2 linked regions of the Rattus norvegicus genome follow. The protein of the gene in region 2 purifies or fractionates together with the protein of the main gene of each other region. This does not show direct contact. Links are inferred from orthologs where the notes say so. Each region holds a gene or a part of one and is shown on either strand. Other genes may lie near its edges.

Region 1 (3,500 bases), on a different chromosome or scaffold from region 2:
TGCTTTGACAGACTTAGGTCTTTACTCTTCTTTGCCTTTAGAAGGAAGGATTAGAATCTCTGTTTATCACACTGCAGTTTCCTTCAAGTTTTTGTTTGGTGGTTGGTTTTTATGGGCAAGCATCAGTGCCGCATTACCGTCGATTCCCCAGGCTTCATCGTGCTGCGGTGAGACCACTGGAAAGCACGGTGTTCTCAGCACAAGGCTGGGACTGCTCCTTCACCACCGGGTCTGCAAGAGAGGAGCACAGGTTTCCCACATGAGCACAAGCACTGAGGTTATAGAGAGAACACCATAATAGCCAACTGCCTTTCTTTTTCCACAGTACCAAGACAGACACATTTATGTGGGACCCGGGTTATAAAAAAAAAAACAAAACAAAACCAGGCACCAAGCCAGGATCAGGAAATAGTTCCTTATTTTCCCCCCTCAGAGCAGGGTCTAGAACCCACAGTTTCACACATGCTATGGCAATCAATCTACCACCAAGTCACCTCCTCACCTCCCACTGAACATTTGATTTTGGGATGAAGTTTTACAAGGTGCTCAGAGAAGCCCTGAACTCACTCTTCTTCACCCCGATGATCCTCCAGCTTAGCCACGGTGGCCTCATGCCCACTGGGGAACCCCCCTCCCCCGGAGCTGGGGACTGAACCCAGGGCCTTGCGCTTGCTAGGCAAGCACTCTACCACTGAGCTAAATCCCCAACCCCGGGGAATTTTTTTCTAGGTAATTTTTCTATTCCCTTAGAATATAGACCCAACTGCTGAAAAGCACAGAAATTCTAACTTAGCACTGTTCAAATTTATACCAATTCCTTCCTTGAGTACCAGTGTCATACAGTGACAAGCATGTGTGAAAAGGTGAATGAAAGAGCCAATGGCAGGCAGCCACTGTAAGGGGCAGTCAAATACTGAGCTTATTTAATCAAATAATGAATTATGTGGATGGAACCTTCATCAGGTTGTTTTCATTATTATTTCTGAGACAGATCTCACTACATACCTTAGATGGCCTCAAATGTACAGTCCTCATGCATATGCGTGCCTTATGAGTTTACATTAGTATTGTTTTCTGTTTCATTGTTTCTGTTTGAGTCAGGTTTTCTGTGTGTAGCCCTGGCTGACTATACTGGAACTCACTTTGTAGTTCAGACTGGCCTTGAACTCAGGGATCCACCTGCCTCTGCCTCTCGAGTTCTGGGATTACCTGGCTATTTAAATTAAAGACAGGCCTCAAAGATCTGACTACCTCCTGAACGGCCGACTTAAAGGTGTGTGCCACCACTCCGGGCTATACCAATATCCTTACAGTGGCCAACCCCATAGGGTAAAAGCAGCTCTGTGTTGGAAATTAGAAAGCAGACAATTGAATGTTGCCTGTTCAGCCATAGAAGGCTGAAAGAGAAGACCCTGTATATATTTTTTTCTTTTTCTTTTTTTTTTCTTTTTCTTTTGTTCCCTTTTCTTTTTTTCGGAGCTGGGTACCGAACCCAGGGCCTTGCGCTTGCCAAGCGCTACCACTGAGCTAAATCCCCAACCTGACCCTGTATATTTTTTGTCCTTAAACTTCTGCTGTAAATTTGAAACTGTAGCAACATATTCTTCGTGTTAGTTATTATTAGGAATTAGTTAACTCCAGAGGTAAAAAGGAAAAGAACACATAGTAGTCAAACAACACACAGAAGCCTTACAGGACAGAGTTCATCTTGATTCAGAGAGAACTAAGTCTACTCAACTTCATCTCTCTCAGCCTCTTCCATGACTAGACTCAGCTACCTCTTCAAGTACATGGGTAAGGTGTGTGTGAAATTTCAATGGGGAGAACTACTAACATTCAAACGATAAGCAGGTCCAGAAGGAGCACGTGTGCTCTATGGAAGATGTCAAAGGTCAGAGTCCAGTTGTCACACCTGCCTGTTCCCTCACCTCAGAGCCCTCTTATTCACACATTGCTTCCTTTAGAAGCACATGGGGGGCAATGGCTGGAGAGATGGCTCAGAGGTTAAAACCACCAACTGCTTTCCAGAGGTTCTGAGTTCAATTTCCAGCAACCACATGGCTCACAACCATCTGTAATGAGCTCTGACACCTCTTCTTGTGTGCACGAAGATAGCTACAGTGTACTTTCATACATAATAATTCTTAAAAACAAAACAAAAACTCACAGAAGTACGGGTGCTCCATGGCCTCTTTGGCGGTCAATCTCTGTTGATGGTCGTACCGCAGGAGCTTGTCAAGAAGATCAAGGGCCTCGGGGCTGACAAGGTGTCTGTTCTCACTATGGATAAAGTTTTCCCAGCGCTTCCGTGAATGCCTAAGAAAAACAGTGTATCATTACTATTCTGAGACTAAACTACACAAAAAATTCTCCTCTACTAGACCCAACACCAGTGACTCCTTAAACCAGTGTGAAGCAGCTGAAGCTCATTCTTGGAGGCACCCACTTCATATAACTGACGCTTCTTCAACCCCCCCACACCCAGTTATAACCACGATGTACTGACACCAAACTGCTCAATCATTAGATAAACAGAATTTGTTTAAAACTTCTACATCTGAGTGAGAATTGGTTCAATCTTTCTGGATTATTCTTATGGCCCGTTTTTTTCCCAACTATGAGTGCAGCCTGGTGGACAGAATGAGAGAGTTGGCTCTAGAAACAAGTGGTTTCCTATAATAATGTGTGAAGACGCCAGGCAAGCATTTCCTTATAGCATGCTGCAGTGGGGCTGGCCATGGTGGTGTACATCTGCAATCCTAGCACTCAGCCTGAGGCCAGCCAGGGCTGTGCAGCAAGACCTTGTCAAACAAACAAAACTCTAAACCACACAATCTACTGTACCTGAAAACTCAGCATCCTTAGTATTTATTGTAAAACTTAATTCAGAAAAATCAGTTGTTCATTTCTTATTCAAAGAAACATAGTTTTCCCAGATTTGTCGCCAAAGTAAATATATTCAGGGCTGGGGAAATGGCGTCAGCTCCTCTAGAGTTCAATTTCTGACAATCACATGGTGGCTCACACCCATCCCTCACTCCAGTTTCAGAAAACCCTATTGTGACTCTGCAGTCATCAATACACACATGGTATGTACACGTAAACAGATAAAACACGCTTACATATAAACCAGAAAGAAGTAATTTAAAAAAATTTTAAGTACATGCTTTAACCAGAGTAACATTTTTCCCCCTGTAACATTATGATTTTGTCTTCTATTTATTTGCACAGGATCTCATGATTGTCAGGCTGGCTTCAAGTTCAATGATCCTCCTGCCTCAGCCTTCCAGGTGTTGTGATTAGAGGATTAGAGATTTCCATGTCCACACATGGCTTGTCTTCCATTTCTTTTTTTTTTTTTTTTTTTTTTGGTTCTTTTTTTTCGGAGCTGGGGACCGAACCCAGGGCCTTGCGCTTCCTAGGCAAGCGCTCTACCACTGAGCTAAGTCCCCAACCCCGTTTGTCTTCCATTTCTTAGTAGGAGTCCTAGCACTTAGAAG
Region 2 (3,500 bases):
TCCCTTTAAATCATTTCTAGGATAAAAAGTCACCTTAGGATAAAAAAAACTCCTGAATTCAGGAGTTGTAAAGAAGTCAGAGATTTTTAACTTATACAGTAATATAGGATTAGCCACAAGTGCAGGAAAGAGAGAGAGAGAGAGAGAGAGAGAGAGAGAGAGAGAGAGAGATCAGCCAGCAGGTTTACATACTATGGAGGCTACAAGGAATGTCTGTTTGGTCAGAACTTCTGTGTTGATAAAGTGCTTATCTTTCACATTTGTATCCATTCAAATCCCACATAATGGTCATTCACCCTTCTTAACTCCCAGAACATTCAGTTGATTCATTAACTCCAGAGAGTCCTGTGATGCCTTCAACTGTCAGTAGGGCACGCAAATCCCATGGGGACTAACACCTTCCCACAGCACTGGAGAAACCATGAGATCTGTCACCTTCCCAGCCAGCCTTCTCCGCCCCTTCCTGAGGCACCGAGCTGCAGCTCCTGGCAACCGATTCAGGCGACCATGGTATCCTGTGGAAAGAAGGCCTCAGTTACTGAAGGCACAGACTGCGTAAGCACAAACTGTGCAAGCACAGATGTTACAGCACACTGGAGCTTGACCCAGCATCGGCACAAGGTTATCTGAAAAAGACTTACTATGCCCAAATCTTTGTCCTAAGCAGTATGATGGCAGGGAAGCCACACTAAGCACCAACAGATACCAGACAATGGTTGATTGCCACCTCCCGAGAGTCCTAAATTTACAGAGCACAACAGTACTCTTCCTTGTCACACATCTTAGACAATGGCTCTGATAGTCCTGAAAGTAAAGTGACTTGGTCAAGAGCATGGAGCTAACTAAAATAGAAGGACCATCTCATTTCTATCCCCTGCCATGGGCCCTTTCTACCCTGTTCTGCTACTTTAGAACTGAAGAAAAGGAGGTATGCATCTGTGTCAAAGTACACAATGAGAGGATCATTAAAACAAATACATTTAAAGAAGTATTTTTAGACCATCCACTTAAAAATGTCATCGATTCTTGTATGTGAATGTCCTTACAAAAGCCTGCTCCTTGTCAGAGCCAAACTTTCAAGCTTCCAACAAGCACTGAAAAAGTAATGCATTGGCATTACCCTGATATGTGGCTGTGACTGATATCAGGCTCCTAACACAGCACACACTGCGGATGTGTCCCAAGAGCCTACATGGACTGACTTAGGAGAAGGAGAACTCTGAGCTTTGAGACTCACCCTTGAATCCCCTAGAACCCTAAGGAAACTGCACGATTCAGAGAGCAATGCAGGATCAGAGGTGTGCAAGAGCTTGAGCAAAGCATGCTGAGTCGTCCCATAGCGAACCATAAAGCCATGACCTGGTCTTTCATCTTCTCCAAACTCACCTCTTTGAGCTGGCCGGGAAGGTAAAAGGAATGTGGAATCTGAGAGTTTATCCAGTCCGGAGTCCATCCTTTCTACTTCAGTGCAGTGATCAGGAGCCCACTTGGGCAGAAGGTTATGGACAGTGAATCCGGGGACACATTCTCCTTCATAAAACCAATCACTCTGCTCATCATCCCCTAAAGCAAACAGATCGTGTCCTGAGCTGTCATGATAAAATCCAAATGCCAGGAGGGTTTCTCACGCCATAGTTGTGCTACTTTCAAGTAAGCCAAGGTGCAAAAGAGCCTGTCCAGTCCCTCCTGGTACGCAGTAAAATGGAAACTGAGGCATCCACCTAGTTCCTCATGGCGGACTGTTCTCACCACTAAGTAGTAAAATCTAAGCTCTAGCCTCACGCCCTTCAGAATCCATGTGGAAACCCTGCAAATAATTTACCTCTTAAAAACACACAACAGCTCCAACTTAGAGTGAGGCAATGAATGCCTGAAAGTTAGGCTTCAGCTAGTAAATGAAGTCAGAATTTGAACCCAGAACCTGACAAATGAAGCCCAAGGTATTTTCTATAAAAAACAAGCTGTCTTCCTGATCATTACCCATGGTGTAGATAATATAGTTCAAAGCTATAAATGTTCCTCACTTCAAAAAATTAGCTGTAATTGCTTGGGGGGAGTTATATAATTACATTTTATCATAATAGATCAGTAAAGAATGTATGCCAACACTTTGTTTTGGCCTTGATATATCATTGATAGGACAGAAAATAATTCTGAACTAGAAATCCAAGCTTCCAGGAAAAAAAACCAACCACAAGTAACAACAATAAACCCCCCTAGGCCTTTTCAAGAAACTATACCATTTGCCTGAACCCATGCTGTTCATAAATGGTAAGGTCCCAACTAAGCCGTACGTCCAAACTCTTGGTCCACACTTCCAACTAGCTACACTAACAGCAGCTCTGTTTCTACTACAGTGTATTCCTGCCAGCAAGACAGGTAAGAACGAGGAAGCTCCATGTCTGCTACCTCATCCTCTTTCCAGACTGCAAGGGTACCGTCAGCATCTACAGTTTATGCTGCCTTTGTCCTCTAAAATATACTGGATAGATCCCACCCCCCCCATTGACACCCAAAATAATAACGACTCTTTCAATTAATGTGGAACTTTCCAAGAGTGGCAGTAAGACCTGCATCCTGCAAACAGCAGTTAGACCAAACACTAAAGAAGCCACACTCAGGCGTCTACCGTGTCTCACTATAAGCTTCAAACAGCTGTCTTAGACATAGGCATTCCTAAGCTTCAGGAAGCACCAGAAGCACCAGAAGGGAAGTGAGGGGATGTCGACAGACAGAAAGGAAGATACATGCCAGGCGACGTACAAACTGCAGGGCCCTATCTACCAAAGTTGCTGATTCTGATTTGAACCAAATACCAGCGAGTTCCTAATGAAGCTGGGTGCGTGTGGGGAGCACAACCTGAGAACACTATTGGACAACCAGCCAGTGGTACCGGTGGATCAGCACAGGGGCTGGGAGACACGGCTAGTCTGTACAATTTGACATGTCCACTCCATTGTCATCCAGAAGCATTTCTCAGGACATGCACTTCAACAGGTAAACCCATTATGTTATGTTTTCTGACAGCAAATTAACCCAAAATTTTGGTTCTTAAAATTCACTCATGAACCAATACACATTTTTAAAAGGACTTGTAGCTGGACGTGGTAGCACACTCCTTTAATCCCAGCACTCAGGAGGCAGAGGCAGGAAGATCTATGTGAGTTCAAGGATAGCCCAGTTTACATAATGAGTTCCAGGACAGCCAGAAAGACACAGAAAAATCCTCTCTCTCAAAAACAAAAACAAAAGGGGGACAGGAGGTTTGCAATGTCTCCCTGAGCTAGAAGAGACTTTGTGAGACTACCATACAAAATCCTCATGCTTTCCTGCCATTTTGTTTCTCTCTGTGTCCGCCCAATCTAGAGATAGCCTTGGCAGTGTGACCTAATACACAGTTTTTCTTCTACCCATGGAGTAGTCTAATTTGGTGGTTTCACTGCACCATAGCTTACACTTACCCGAGTTTGTCAACTTAACAGGGCCTCTTACCTTCCAGG

The links. The genes of interacting proteins can lie anywhere in the genome.
Region 1: the proteins of Gpatch2l (region 2) and Csnk2a2 purify together in Homo sapiens (affinity purification with mass spectrometry; 5 studies listed by BioGRID and IntAct, counting the BioPlex papers as one, with this or other methods). This does not show direct contact. The link is inferred for Rattus norvegicus from reciprocal best matches to the Homo sapiens genes GPATCH2L and CSNK2A2.

What each region holds. Positions count from the first base shown.
Region 1 is NC_086037.1:9,593,340-9,596,839, reverse strand, and holds part of Csnk2a2 (casein kinase II subunit alpha'), read right to left. Parts: intron 2,317-3,500; coding exon 2,168-2,316; intron 232-2,167; coding exon 155-231; 3' UTR 138-154; exon of another isoform or gene 1-137.
Region 2 is NC_086024.1:111,631,431-111,634,930, reverse strand, and holds part of Gpatch2l (G patch domain-containing protein 2-like), read right to left. Parts: intron 1,564-3,500; coding exon 1,387-1,563; intron 516-1,386; coding exon 436-515; intron 1-435.